Drosophila melanogaster: one gene and its partners. Changing the gene in region 1 together with any one later gene gives a genetic interaction. Each region holds a gene or a part of one and is shown on either strand. Other genes may lie near its edges. The genes, in order: crol, gcm and stg.

Region 1 (5,126 bases):
CTGCAGGTGCCATTCTCCTCGCCTCAAAGGTGTGGGATGACCAGGCCGTTTGGAATGTAGATTACTGCCAAATACTCAAAGACATCACCGTGGAGGACATGAACGAGCTGGAGCGCCAGTTCCTCGAGCTGCTGCAGTTCAACATCAATGTACCGTCCTCGGTGTACGCCAAATACTACTTCGACCTGCGCACGCTCGCCGAGGCCAACGAGCTCAACTTCCCCACGGAGCCGCTGTCCAAGGAGCGGGCCCAGAAGCTGGAGGCCATGTCGCGTGTGATGCAGGACAAGGTCACTGCCGAGGCACTGAAGAATGGGATCAAGAAGTGGTCCTCCATGGACAACATCAGTCAGGGCGGGCCGCGACGCAGCGTGGCCATACTATCGTGATTTATATTAGCTTACTAAAACCGAACAACCAACCAACAGCAGCAATGAGATCCGTACTCTGTAGTCCGTAGTCCGATCGAACGTCATTTGAGAACCGTAGCTCTGCGCTGAATCAGATTTTGCACACAGATTCAGATACATTTCGTAGGCCACCCGGTTGCATAAGCTTTTGCGGGTGGCTTTTTAGCCAGCACACAGACTCTAAAAGGAACACCCAAATACGTGCAGAAAGAATCACAGTCTTATATACAATATATACATACACGAAGAAAAGCGTTTTAACCACACGTCTCGAATTAAGGACCACTTTTTACATATACGTACATGCGATCGATGTATGTAAGCGAAACTACCGATGCAGTCATGGATTTGGATGATGATTTTAAACAGAGACACAGAAGTACTACTACAGCAACGCGTAACCAATTGCCAAACGAAAGATCACAGAAGCAGAAAGAGATACAGAAACCTAAACCGAACAGTAGAGAATTGTTTGTACAAAACGGCTTAAATAATATTGTAATTGACTTGGCCACCTAATCCAGCTGGCATCTAAGCAATTTAATCTCAACGGTTGGCCACGGCCACCAAATTGTCATTTACTTAGCGCGTCCGCGCCCAAAAAAAGAAAAGAAAAACATTTCCCTGTACATTTGTTACGAATTTAATTTGTTTACCTTACATCCATGTTTTCTTAATAACTCAATATGATTTCGTGTGATTCTTATATAGTTTCCATTTAGCTTTATATACGATGAACGATATTCGGCTTCCCCGCGTCAGGCTTCAGGCACAAATCGATTTTCTGGGGGCGCGGCCTGCGGCAAGTTGATTTGTTTTTTTTTGGTTCTTAGCATTAGAAAAACAAACAAAATCCGAGCGAGAGTTGCAAGGAGCACAGCGCAATATTAACCCAAAAGATTTGTGAGTAAATTAATGTACTAGACATATAAGGATACGAATTATATGCAAAATGTATTTTATTTTGTAATTTATTTTACGATAAAGCTAAATAAAAGCAAATCAAAGAAATAGACTTTCTATAACTTAGTTTTTGTCACTTTTTTTTCGAAAACGTGGGTTTTGAAAACGAAAGCGCGCTTATTCGAAGTCAAAAACATGGCCATATGAAACAGAAAGTTTTTGAAACATTTTTTTTTTTTTATATAGAAAGGACTTCTGGCTATTCTATGTATAAAAACATTTTAGAAACATATCTTATTCTAAATAAGAAGATCGATCATAGGATTTCTTTCGAAAATCGTATAAAATGTATTGTATAATCCACTTATTTTCTTTCCCTCCCACAAAATATGGATTCAAAAATCTCGAACAAGATTATGTGGAAAAGTATTGATAATCACCTAAACACATTGATTTTCAACATTATAAATACTCCACTTGCAAATGCAAAAAAAAAACTCTTTAGAAATAGTCAAGATCCTACTATTTAAGTTTATACTTTCAGAAAATCTTATAATTCCAATTACACTTTATAACTTATTAAATTTACGCTGCTAATTATTTTTATTATTTATAAAATACTTTACGAAAAACTTAATTTTCAAAGCTATCGACGCAGTGCCATCCCTAATTTGGTATTTTTGTGTATTTGGTATATTTCAAAATTACATTGAAAATAAAGCAGCCCGGTCACACTGCCAGCTCTGGAGAACTATCGATGTCATATCGATACTTCTTCCAGCTCTATACACTGCTTCTCTCGCTCTTCCGCCCGCAACTAAAACTCTGGATCCGCGTTAAATGTTAAGAAAATAAAGGCACCGCTCTAATTAAATGGCCAACCGCAAGTGTACAGTGCGCGCAATGCAGTTAGTGACCAGTGGAGAGTGATGTGCAAGATCGGGCCACGAAACCAAGATCGCCATTGAGCAATCCGGGAACGGCGTCTGTTGAAAAGGGACGCTGCTGCAGGCAGAAAAAGGAGTGGTAGCTCGCTGGTCTATGGATAAAACGTAACTATATCGCTGGTGAGTGCAATTCGAATTGGCGACTCTTGCATTCGTATTCAAATTGGCCAATTGGACCCGGCCGAATTTGTGTGCTTAACCGTTTTGCCGCCTTTTTGTGCCCAAGCCCCGAAAAAGCAGCACAACAACGGGAGGGGGTTGGTGGAGGGAGCGGCGGAGACAGCGGCAGCAAATCGTTAATAAGAACAACGCAATCGCACGCACACACACACATGCGGGCTCGAGCACGCATTGTATCTGTATCTTGCGGTGTCTCTCGTAGTCGCTCTCGCTCTCTCGCTGCCTCCACACCTCTTGCCAGTGCTGGCCACTTGGATTCTCTCTAGCCAGTTTTTGTAATTGGAGTAAGTGCAGGTGCTGCTTGGCTAGTTATCTACTCTGAATGCTAAAAGTAGTTTAAGTTTTCATCTAATATAAAAATTTGTTGAAAGGGATACTTTAATCAGTAATTTATAAATGCTTTTTTGACTTTTTCCATTTGAATATAAGGTTATAAAGATTAAATTGAATTATTTTAATAAGTGTTTTAAATTTTCATGTATTCCGATCAGATAAACCGCCTTGTTATTAAAGTTATTTTTCTCACTGGCTTATGTAAATGTTAACTTTTTTTAGCATTGGATTGGGATTATTGGGCTTTTTACAGCTCTAAGCTAATCAACTCATTACCTGATATTTGTTATGCCTTTGCCATATTATTAAAAAAAACTTATATTTGATATTTGACTGTCAAATTTTCAATAAGATAATCAGATAGCCTTGTTATTATGCCACACTTAGGAAGTTCAATAAATAACTTTTAAATATAAGAGTCGAATCAATTGATCCCTCGTCAAAGCCAAACCGCCTGCACTGGCTCTCCCACTGGACTTTTGTGCTTTCGGCTGCCGCCCGAACGCGCCGCACGAAGAACTTTTACATCGGTCGCCTTTGCCTGCTCGCCTTCTGCTGCCTCCGCGTCTCATTCAGTTTTCAGTTTGCTTTGCTCTGTTCGCCGTTCACCACCGCCTCTCACCCGCGCGGCGTTTCGATTCTGATTGCCACTACTGTTGCACACACACACACACATTCGCCGGAGAGTGTGCCCGCCACCACCACCGTTGCAATATCAAGTAAATTTTCATATACTGGCGTCATAAGAACGAACCGAACAACCTTTTTAAAGCTTGTAAAAAATGCAGTGTTTTGTACGAGGGGAGAAGCTGCTAGAGGGGGTGGGTCGGATATGATGGGATGGGGAGAGGGACAAGTACCGGGGCTGATTGGAAACAATTGAGTTTATTTGTGAAATTCGCAGGCCAAAAAGAATGCGAGAATTATTAATCAAATGACTTTGCGGTCGACTTCGCTGTCAGTGTATTGGTGTGTGAGTGTTTTTGTGTGCGAGTGCGAGAGTATCTGTGTGTGCTTGTGTATGAGCTGCGCGCACATCCACAGCTACAGAGTTTCCATTAACGTCATCATCGTGTCATTCTTGCAAGTTTTAGAGCGAGAGAGGGCAGACGCAGGGTTGCATTTTTCTAAAATTTATTAACTATAGCACTTTAAGCGATCGGTGGCGCTTTCCGTATTGGCACTTTTTTCGCCGCCATATGTTAGAACCCAGCTCCCGATTCCAATTCCTTTAGCTTTTCCAATTGTGCTCAGATGTGTGCCTGTGTTTTGTTTAACAATTATGAAATGCACACTAATTGGCTGTAATGAAAATGTGACGGACGTTTCTCCAACTTGATCCTCCTTCTCCTCTCTCTCACTCTTTTTCCCATTCGATTCGCCGCTCTCTCGGTCGAAATTTGAGCGACAGCCAAACAAACTTAAAAATAAAAAGCGGCAGCAGCGGCAATAATTATAACTATAACTCGAGTTTCGGATCTCGGCATATAGAATGTGAGCCAAAAGGCAAAACTTGTATCGACGCGCCGCCTGTACTCGCTTGTCTCTCTCTCTCTCTCTCTCTCTCTGTCTCTCTTTCACGCTCGCTCGTTAGCTACTCTCTCAGCTTTCATTTTTTTCTGTCTCGCCTCCTCGCTTTATTTTGTACTTACGCTTTGCGATTCAATTCGTTTTTATTGGTTTTCCGCTTTAGGCGGCTGGGAATTGTACGTAGCGTCGTTCGTGCAAAACGTTGTTGCTGCTGGGCCAGGGGATAGGGGGTGACGTTGCCGTTGTCGTTCAATGAATAATGAGAGACAATGTAAGGCAAAGAGAGGGAGAGAGGCAGGAGCGAGAGAGAGGCGAGACGAGAATAACAAAATAAAAAAAGCAAAACCGTGTACAAAAGTGCACGAAAAGCAGTGGGTAAGAAGGGAACAAAGAGGAGGCGGCATGGCAAGAAAGACACAACTTTTTTTCCCTGCTGGCAGCCAAAAGCAAACCAGAATGGTGAGAGGGAGAGAACGAGGAGAGGCCCCCCGTCTAGAATCTAGAAGAAAAGCAGAGAAGACTGACTGGTCGAGGAGATGCACGCACATACAGCTCTTCTAGATATAGATACAATTAATTTGATTTGTTAGCACCGAAACCGCACCGCACAGCACTGCTCGTTTCGAATTGGAATAGTTGGAAATGTAAAATTTGCAATGCCCCCCCGAAGGCAATTCCAATTCCCATTCCCTTTCCAATTAGAGTTAGAATATTTTTGCTCTTCTTTCCACGCAGACGCAGCCTTAGTTTCGTTGTGTTGGTGACTTTTGCATACATATGGATGTACATATACATATATTGACTGCAAATAAATTTTCGCTTG
Region 2 (4,665 bases), 2.2 Mb from region 1:
TGTAATCTTTTTCATTATTGAGTAGTCATAAAGTCTTGGCATTTAACGAACACATTATCCTACACTCGGTCAACAAATCTTTTGAGCACTCACTCACATATTGTGAATATCCATGGCCATATGTTTGGCAATCGTTATAATCCCTGGCCAAATCCCTTCCGACCAGAACAGACTATCTATATGCCAGGGGCGTAACTTCCCACGACACCGCCGACGGATAGGGTAGATGCCGAATTTACGATGACATTTATGCGTAATTTTTGGTCGAATTTTATAGCCGCAATTGGACTGAGTTTCATTGGGAAAGAAAAGAGTTCTGTTCTCCACTGGCCCCCGCAGAGAAAGTGTCAAATAAATTTGATTGCCAAGTGATGTCTCGTAATTGAAACGGAACAGTTAATTCCGGGCATCATTAAGGCGACACACCCACCTTGAGTGCGGGAATCTGGGACCAGGTAGGATGTGCTTCCCCAGCACAGCCTCATAATATGCCACGTCATGACTTTCTTCTGTGTCAACGCCCCTCGAGTCCCGGTCGGAGCACCCTTTCCCATTGTCCGCCGTAATCCTTTGAGTTCCTATCGCGTGCTACGATCCTGATCTTTGGGCGACTCCTTGGCAGAAAGGCGCCGCGGGTTGCTCGCTCAGTTCGTGTCATAATTGCATGGCATTTGGTCTGTCGTGGAAGTGTGAAAATTATGGAGTTTCCTCACCCTTTCGTCATCTTAATGATTATGTTTGTTTCGTTTATCTCTGACTTGAGATCGCCAAGGGGCCCAAGGAATTTGTTTGGCAAACTTTGCTTCATTCATATGCGTGAGTTATGGCATTTGCCTTTGGGTTTGTAGGGGAGGTTTTCCAATATGGGATTTCTTCTTTTTGATTTCCGTTTTTTTGCGTGCTAAATTGTGTTTTACGATTATGAGATCCCTGATTTCATCTTGAAGATATCGGCAGGAGCTCGACATTTCGGTTTCTTTTTTTGCAAACGTTTATTTCTTTATCGATTTTGAGATCGTGAGAAGTAGTTCCGTTAGCTATACCGTTGCCTTACCAAATTCTATAATAGTGACTATATATAGTGGTAATATTTCTATATTTCTGTGAGTCATTTCCATTAAAATTTACGTTTGATTTTGAAATTTTTTTACAGAATAATTTCTACCTCTGAAGTTAAGTAGATTTAGCAGCTTTAATGTCCGCATTAAAAAAGTCTTAAAGCCTTGAACTAAATTACTTTCCGTGCTTCGTTGGAACCATCTCCATTTTGTTCGTAACTCTGCTTGCCCTCCAACCATTTCACTTTGCTCCCCATTTCGACATCCACATCCAGTTCGAAAGTAAATAGGCCCGACCACTGGCATCTGCCAGTGACTGTCGCCAGGTGTACCCATCAGAACCCATGCCATACAGCACATCCCCATCCACACACAGCCCCATCCCCATCTCCATTTCCATTACTGATGTTGTAAACTTTTTTTCTGAACTTAATTAGCTTTGACTGGGGTTGGGGCCGTGTTCTTTGCCATCGAGTGCCTCAAACCCCTGGTTCTCATATCGTACAATTACCCAGTGGAGCGCGTGCTGCAACCGCAGGTGCTAGAGCAGCACAGCACTCGTCTCCCTGCCCAGTTGCCAGTTCCCAGCTCCCAGCTCCCTGTGCTCAAGCTCTCCCAGCTCCCAGTTCCCTATAGAACGAATTCTCCATCTCCAGCTGCTGCTACCACTACTACCAATCAAACCTGCTCGGGAACTCTCCTAATTTCCCAAACTGGAGTGCCGGATAAGGCGGATAAGCCGCACACAAGCGCACCCGAACTGGAAGTCAGCATGGACCAATGGGCGTACCGCTTTGCGACCGAGCAACCCTCGTGCGATTCGACCGCTGGCAACTTAACTGTGCTGCGCAGAGCGGGCCCAGTTAGTCAGCCTTGCGCAGTCGATGCGAACGGACGCGTCGCTCCAGAGAAAAGTTGAGAAGAAGTACACAGTAGTAATAGACTATTGAGAAGGAAAACTATAGTGACCGCGTGTGAACTTGAAACTAACGATTACATAGACACATCAAAAATGGTTTTGAACGGCATGCCTATAACAATGCCAGTACCGATGCCAGTGCCCATGCCTGTGCCCAGTCCTCCGGCCACCAAGTCCCGGGTGGCGATCGACTGGGACATCAACGATTCCAAGATGCCGTCGGTGGGGGAGTTTGACGATTTCAATGACTGGTCCAACGGACATTGCCGGCTCATCTACTCCGTGCAGAGTGATGAGGCCAGGAAACATGCCAGCGGTTGGGCCATGCGAAACACCAACAACCACAACGTGAATATCCTAAAGAAGAGCTGCCTGGGAGTGCTCCTCTGCAGTGCCAAGTGCAAGTTGCCCAATGGAGCCAGTGTGCATCTGAGACCCGCCATTTGCGACAAGGCCAGAAGGAAGCAGCAGGGCAAACAGTGTCCCAATAGGTGGGTTTTTGACTAAACACAAAATCCAAGAATTGTCAAAACTAACTCGGTATTTTTATTTTTTTTTCTTGACAGAAATTGCAATGGTCGCTTGGAAATCCAGGCTTGCCGCGGCCACTGCGGCTATCCAGTGACCCACTTCTGGCGCAGGGACGGAAATGGAATCTATTTCCAGGCCAAGGGCACCCACGATCACCCCAGACCCGAAGCCAAGGGATCCACGGAAGCCAGGCGACTTTTGGCAGGAGGAAGACGTGTGCGAAGTTTGGCCGTAATGTTGGCCAGGGAATCGGCGCTGAGCGACAAGCTGAGTAGCCTGAGACCCACAAAACGGCAGGCCAAGACTCAGTCCATCCAGGAGAGCAAGCGCAGAAGGATGGGTGCTTCCGATGTGCTCGAAACCAAGCAGGAGTTAGTGGTGCCACCCACCACCTACCTGCCCACATCGACGCCCACACATAGCACCAACTTTAATCAATCTCAGGGTTCATATGTCCCAGCAGGACAAGGATCAGTGATCAGTCAGTGGAATAGAGAGATTCACTACGAAACGGAGGATCCATGCTATGCCAATGGAATGTACTCCTACGATATGCTCCACTCACCTCTCTCAGCGCATAGCTCCACGGGCAGTTATTACCAGGAGAACAAACCGCAGCAACTGCAGCACTCACAATACCAGCAGCAACTCTCACCGCAGCAACATGTACCAGTCAGCTATGATCCCAGCCAGCCAATCTCCTCCAGCCTTCAGTGCGGAATGCCTTCGTATGAAATATGCGACGATACGTCCAGTTTGACCAGCAGCTCGGGCTACTGTTCCGAGGATTATGGCTACTACAATGGATATCTACCCAACTCGCTGGACGTGAGCAATGGAAGCCAAAGCCAGAATCTTAGCCAGGATGCAAGTTTCTACACAACCAGCTCGGAGATCTTCAGTGTGTTTGAGTCAACTCTGAATGGCGGAGGGACCAGTGGCGTGGATCTCATCTACGACGAAGCAACCGCCTATCAGCAACATCAGCAACAGGGAACTTTTCCGCATCTCACCAATTATCAACAGGAGCCGCAGGATCAGATGCAGTCCGCCGACTACTACTACAGCAATACGGGAGTGGACAACTCGTGGAACATTCAAATGGACGCGACATATCACCCAGTCAACAGCACGGATCCCATCTATTGCTAGGGGATCGGGATAAGATCTCTCATCGCAACTACTATTACTGAGCCACTCAAGCGTTGTTCTAGTCCCTAGTTGATTGATTTCCATTCATGTTCCCATTGCTTGTTGGTCGTGTATTATTATATATTGAACGTTTCTAGTTTGTACTTTTGTACTTGTTTCCCAGCTATTCCAAAGTTTTAGAGCACGTAAGAGTAATAGTATTCTTAAGCACATAGAGTTTTAAGTCACATTTCCCACCTATTTATGAACTTTTTTGTAGTAATAAACATTTTTGAAAGAAAAACTTAATCGAAGCAGCCTTTTTTTGAGAATTGACACGTGTCAAGCAAGGGAGCTCGTAATCATTGTCAGTATAACATTACCAGCGGCAGGATATACAACTAGGGATTTTCCTCAACAACAAGTTTAAATTCGTTAGTCAACCAAAATCGTGTAACAATGGGTGCTTGTCGCCCTAGAAAATGTAGTGCAAATAACCGAACTATGGCAATTGTGAGTACTAAATAAAGGCCTAAACAAATAACAATGAATAAAACCAAATTTTGTATTGAGAAGCGTCGCCGTAGAGCTCTAGTTAACTTGCTATTTTTGCGCCGTCATTTGATTGGACAGGCACTTGGAATTACGAATCGGGAAACTCCAGACCTTAGGGTAAAATCGCGGCGACGCAATCGTAGAAGGAGAATGCAATTCAGAGTCCGTACACCAAGTGATAATGCAATGCGCTCAGTAAGGCATCATGGACAGAATCCAATCAGCCCAGGATCACGGCTACAACGAAATAATCCACTTTGGGGACACGCCGACATTATAACCACAGATAGAGCGTTGGAAGCTTTAAATGGACTTACTACAGGGAACAGGGAACCAAATGCATTGTCAGTAATGGTGCGATATACCAATGGGCGGTGTAAGTTGAGCTGTACTTATTGCTAATACAATGAAGTGCATAATTAATACTCTCTTATTAGATTATTTAAGCTTAGAGCCAAGTGGAAATCAGCA
Region 3 (5,887 bases), on another chromosome or scaffold:
ATTTAGCTCTTCACTTTTTGCTGGTCCTGTGATTTTTTTTGTTCGTTATGCTGTTTTTGAGGTCCCCCGCTATTGTTGTGCCCCATTCCCATTTCCATTCACATTGTTGCTGCAATTTCTTTCTCCGCAGCCTATTCTCATTCTTTATCAAATTTACCCACTCACACACGCACACACACGTGTGTGAGTGTGCTTTTGCATACGCTTTTGATTCCGCTTCCTCCGCTTTGCCCTTTTTCTGGAGCCCGGCGATATCACGGTGGTATTATCTGAAATCCATAATTGCGAGGCTATAATTGGAATGAATAAAAGCATAAAAACTGGATAAGAATTTGGTAAGTAAAAATGAAAATAGCAGAACAACTCGAGCTAGAAACTACTTTTAAATAGTAGTAGTAAGTTCACAGATTTACCTCTAGTATATGTATTTTGCCACACTGTGCGCTCGGATCGCTATGAATGAGATTGGTTCTGAGCTTTTTCCTTCCCTATGCGCTTTTTTAACTTGTTCAAAACCACTTTATGATTTCTGCGTCCTTCTCGTCGTTTTGTGCTGGTTGTTTTCCATAAAGATGATCCTCTCGGCTCTTCCTGCAGCAACAACAAAAGCTGGCCAAAGGAATTCAGCGGAATGAAACCGTAGCTCATTTGGTTGGTGGCTTCGGCTGTGGTTGGTCCCGAAATCATTTACTTTCGCCTGCTCTTCAAGCGGTGTGAATGATATGGCCTGGTTGCACTGGCCTGTCCTTCATTTGTTTGCCGCGAACCTTACAAAAACACACTCGAACTGCACAGCACAGCCCATGGGTGTTCGCAAACCCCCAACCCTCCTTAGTGAACCCCTCGGATCCTCCAGAATGACTCCCGCAGGGCATCGGCGCATATGTAACTCGATTTTTGCTTTAACTTTGCCGCGATTGCACACAAACGAGGGGCTACAGTGGAGCTTCGGCGTGGGCAACTAGTCTGAGCTTCACATTATCGATTATTGGTCATATCGCATGGTTGACATCATGATTTTCCACGTGTTTGCTACTGTTAGTAGTAGTTTATCTAGCTTAAGATCTGTGTTTGTACGGATTCTCATTAAAGACACACGGTCCATCGTGTAGAGTGCTACCTGTGAATGGATCTCTGTGGCTGGAAGCTTTGCTCATTTAACGACATTGGCGTCTACGTCTGCAGAACACAAAGGAGCCACGCCCCCTCCACGACCGCCCATCCCGCCGGTGCGGCGATCATATGACTGCGGCCACTACCTGCTGATATGTAGTTTTCAGGGAGGGGTTACAAGGGGGGACAGGGGGCAGCAGGAATGCGTGGATCTCACATTATTACCTGCAAACGACACAATCGATGCCGCCTTGAAATTCTGCTTAAAGATTCGCGCAGTTCTTCAGCGTTTCCTCTTCGCTTCTTGGGGCTCCACACTATTTTCACATGTGTTCGGTTCGGAGCCTCCTCGGCTCCACTTCGGCTCCAATTGTGGCGACTTCGGATCCCCTTCGGCGGTACGCGTCGCGGTATAAAAGCTCGCGCGCCAAAATCAGTGGCCTCCATAGAGCTGGCGACCACCAAGGCGCCAGATTCTCCTCGTTTCTCGGGACATTGGTATTCGGTGCGGGATTTTGCGATAGGGGAAGTGCAGGGGAAAGGATTCTACCTGTTGCCGGCACTCTTGTGCTCCACATGAGCAGAGATTTCCAAAACTGAGTCCATATGATCCTGATTCTCCCATTTTCCCAGTTTTCCTTTTCGCATCGCACATGGCTCTGGCCCCGTCCCCGTTATGTGTGTTGGTGTCGCTCGTTGCCCGTCTCCCTTCCTCTTCTATTGGCACTTCTGGGAAGGATAGGAAGGAAAGGATAGGATGGGAAGGCAAAGGAAAGGAGCTGAGAACTAAGAGCTAAAGAGCGAAGCAGAGAGAACAAAAAACGCGCGCCATCTCGCTCGCGCCCATTAGCTCATCAGCTGATCGTGATCGGCCGGGGTGCGGTTATAAAAACCAGCTGCTCGGCATATTCAGCACATTCGTTCTCAGTTCGTCGTCGAGTCAACAGCTCTTCTTGTTCAGCCTTTCGGTTCCTCGTTCGGTGAATTGAGATTGTGCGGTTCAAATTATTGAAGAAAAAGAAAAACCTCGCACAACCACACTCCGAAATACAAAACAAAAAATCATGCTCAAACGGACACATTAACAAAAAAAAAAAACAAAAAAACCTAAATTAACTAAAATGCAATACTAGCCAAAAACCAAGGACTACCATCTCAAATTCTAAAAACAAACTGTAAATGAGTGCAGAGTGACCAAGAACAAATTGTGTTTTAGCAATTTCTTCGGCTTCAGACTCGCCAGCGAAATCAAACATCTTCGGCTCTTCGAAGCAACCAACGCAACACATAACACAACAAAACCAACAAAATGCTGTGGGAAACTATTGTGGAGGAAAACAACTGCAGCATGGATTGCAATATCAGGTAATTATGCCGCCCAAGGATTAGCAACAGCAAACCCCTTTTGCACCAGGAATACCAGTTGAAAATACGCGATAAAAAGTGCAAGTTCAAGAGCAACAGCAACAACAGCAAAGCAAAAAAAAAATACAAAAAACAGAAATGTAAACGATGGGGCCAACAAAAGTAAGAGTTCTTTTTATCACGCTCGGCACGTTTGCTTTTTGCCCGATTTTTATTTTGGCGCTCAGCTGTTGTTTTGTTGCTCGCTTGCCGTTTTTCATTCATTAAACCGGCTTCCGCGAGGCTCCAAAAAAAAGCAGCAGCAAAAAATGCTTTTTGTCCGTCGTCCGTCAGTCAGTCATTTTTTTTTTTTCGATTTTTGTTCCTTTTTTCCTCCGTGTTCTTTGCGGTTCTTTGTGGCGTGTTTTTGTTGTATTATCGCTGCGCTTGCGTGACGTGTGACCCAAAAGCAAAAGTCAAGCTGAAAAGCAGATGCATGCGAAAAGCAAAAGGGAATTCCATTTGGAGAACCGCTAATGCTTAAGTAGAATCAAGAAGAAGAAGATAAGGCGGTACGCAACGGTTCCCTCGCAATTTTAGGGAATTGTAAAAATTATCAAAAAAAAAAAAAATGGTATCAATGATATCGTGTGCGCAAGTCGAATCCCAAAAATTCCAGTTTTCGAAGCTGCATTAAAGTAAATTTCTAGTTCAGCTCCCTCTTCACCCAATTACAACAACCCCTCTCTGTATTTTCTCGGGTATTTTTGTTGTTTTTACACCACCAACGCCACCACCACCACCAGTTTGTCAGTATTTTTAGCTGGGTTTAATGACCCGCTCTTGCGAGAGTTTAGGGAAGCAAAAGCAGCTCTCTTCCTCGATGCCGAACAGTTGACTAATCCTCCCCCTCTCTTTGTTTGCTCTTGCAGTAATAACACCAGCAGTTCGAGTAGCATCAACAAAATGAGTGGATCTCGTCGTGCTCGCCGTTCCCTGGAACTGATGAGCATGGACCAGGAGGAGCTGTCGTTCTACGACGACGACGTTGTGCCCCAGGATCAGCAGCGATCGGCCAGTCCGGAGCTGATGGGTCTGCTCTCGCCGGAGGGCTCGCCCCAGCGCTTCCAGATCGTCCGCCAGCCGAAAATTCTGCCAGCTATGGGAGTATCAAGTGATCACACGCCGGCGCGCAGCTTCCGCATCTTCAACAGCCTGTCCTCCACATGCTCCATGGAGTCCTCCATGGACGATGAGTACATGGAGCTCTTCGAGATGGAGTCGCAGAGCCAACAGACCGCCCTGGGCTTCCCCAGTGGCCTAAACTCGCTGATCAGCGGCCAGATCAAGGAGCAGCCTGCTGCCAAATCGCCAGCGGGTCTGTCCATGCGCCGCCCTTCGGTCAGAAGGTGCCTCAGCATGACGGAGAGCAACACCAACAGCACCACCACCCCACCACCAAAGACCCCAGAGACTGCCCGGGATTGCTTCAAGCGCCCGGAACCGCCAGCATCGGCCAACTGCTCGCCCATCCAGAGCAAACGCCATCGCTGCGCCGCCGTTGAGAAGGAGAACTGCCCCGCACCCAGCCCACTCAGCCAGGTCACGATTAGCCACCCCCCTCCACTGAGGAAGTGCATGTCCCTGAACGACGCCGAGATCATGTCCGCCCTGGCCCGCTCCGAGAACCGCAACGAGCCCGAGCTAATCGGCGACTTCAGCAAAGCCTATGCCCTGCCCCTGATGGAGGGTCGTCATCGGGATCTGAAGAGCATCTCCAGCGAAACAGTGGCTCGCCTGCTTAAGGGCGAGTTCAGCGATAAGGTGGCCAGCTACCGCATCATCGACTGCCGCTACCCCTACGAATTCGAGGGCGGCCACATCGAGGGAGCCAAGAACCTGTACACCACCGAGCAGATCCTCGATGAGTTCCTCACCGTCCAACAGACTGAGCTGCAGCAGCAGCAGAACGCCGAATCGGGACACAAGCGCAACATCATTATCTTCCACTGCGAATTCTCCTCGGAGCGTGGACCGAAAATGTCCCGCTTCCTGCGTAATCTGGATCGCGAGAGGAATACCAACGCCTATCCGGCGTTGCACTATCCCGAGATCTATCTGCTGCACAACGGCTACAAGGAGTTCTTCGAGTCGCACGTTGAGCTGTGCGAACCACATGCCTACCGCACCATGCTGGATCCCGCCTACAACGAGGCCTATCGCCACTTTCGCGCCAAGTCCAAGTCCTGGAACGGCGATGGCCTGGGCGGTGCCACCGGGCGGCTAAAGAAGTCGCGCTCGCGACTGATGCTGTAGGTTGTGGGATGATCGTGCAGTTCGTTATCTAAGTTTGGGTGTTATCGTATTGTATATATAGACGTATAGGGGTATTTATTTCATGCTGCTTTTAAGTTGATTTTTGTTGATTTTCATTTGTTAATCCGTAGACTAAGTTTCTCGCACACGACGCAGACACACACCCGACACTCGCATTCATGCAAAACAGACAATTTCATTTGGAATTTAACGCTTTTGTTTAGTTATTATTGTTTTTATGGTTTCGGCTTTAGTTCAATTATTTAAGCACTCTAGTTCAAATTTTAAAGATAACCAACGAACAAGCAAACGAAAAATGTGCATTATAATCTAAAAACGTGAGGAACCATGTCATTTAAATTTAAGAGGCCGATCCCGAAATCAGACCCCTTAATCATTTGTAGATGATAAGCAGAACAAAAAATGGCTAAAAACAAAAAAAAAAAAAGAAAACAAATATCACACAAAAACAAACACGCTCATTAATTTCATCCATAAAACTTTATTTATAAGATCTATCGTTTAAGAGTTGAAAGTTGTAAACTTCTGCTAGGTACAATTTACGCTTATTATTTGTTTATTTTTATGTAATCCGTAACCGAACAACAAGGCACCGAAACGCAAATGCAAACAAGAAAACAAATATTTTACCATGTAATGATTATTATTTAAGCAAAGCTTATTTTTGCATCAAAAAAGGCAATATTATTGAACAAAGACCATCAATTTTAAATATACATTAATACACGACGAAAAAGAACTGAAATTCCTGGAATTTTTATCATTCAAATGGCGCCAAATGCGCATTATGTGCGGGATTTCGGTACTCTATGGGTTTTCACAGAATTAACAACTTGAAATTGGCGCGCAAAGCGAGTAGTTGCACTTTGTAAATGTCAGAGGGCGCTGTGTCCGTAAAAAATTGAGTATAACAGCGGCGACTTTTTGGCAGACTGTTATACGAAAATTTGTATGTCACTTTATATTTCTTTAAATTAGAGATGGACACGTGATGCTTTTTTTTTTAAACCCACGCATACGATATACAAATACTCTTTTAAATTTGTTAACTTGTTCTATAAATTGAAGGCAAAGCCTAACACTTTCCGAAAAT

What was found.
Region 2: of crol (region 1) and gcm, changing one suppresses a phenotype caused by changing the other (phenotypic suppression), as found in Drosophila melanogaster (one study listed by BioGRID).
Region 3: of crol (region 1) and stg, changing one suppresses a phenotype caused by changing the other (phenotypic suppression), as found in Drosophila melanogaster (one study listed by BioGRID).

The regions. Positions count from the first base shown.
Region 1 is NT_033779.5:11,806,380-11,811,505, reverse strand, and holds the start of crol (crooked legs), read left to right. Parts: upstream 1-2,067; 5' UTR 2,068-2,380; intron 2,381-2,533; exon of another isoform or gene 2,534-3,492; intron 3,493-5,126. Other genes in the region: CycY (cyclin Y), read left to right, coding at 7-389.
Region 2 is NT_033779.5:9,578,998-9,583,662, reverse strand, and holds gcm (glial cells missing), read left to right. Parts: upstream 1-1,917; 5' UTR 1,918-2,070; coding exon 2,071-2,468; intron 2,469-2,543; coding exon 2,544-3,660; 3' UTR 3,661-4,098; coding exon of another isoform or gene 4,099-4,152; 3' UTR 4,153-4,165; downstream 4,166-4,665. Other genes in the region: CG31709 (uncharacterized protein), read left to right, coding at 4,099-4,152, 4,216-4,570, 4,632-4,665. UniProt on the Drosophila melanogaster protein: Transcription factor that induces gliogenesis. It determines the choice between glial and neuronal fates. Also has a role in the differentiation of the plasmatocyte/macrophage lineage of hemocytes.
Region 3 is NT_033777.3:29,251,464-29,257,350, reverse strand, and holds stg (string), read left to right. Parts: upstream 1-1,550; 5' UTR 1,551-2,422; coding exon 2,423-2,478; intron 2,479-3,389; coding exon 3,390-4,773; 3' UTR 4,774-5,208; downstream 5,209-5,887. Other genes in the region: CG45544 (uncharacterized protein), read right to left, coding at 454-687. UniProt on the Drosophila melanogaster protein: This protein functions as a dosage-dependent inducer in mitotic control. It is a tyrosine protein phosphatase required for progression of the cell cycle. It may directly dephosphorylate Cdk1 and activate the Cdk1 activity.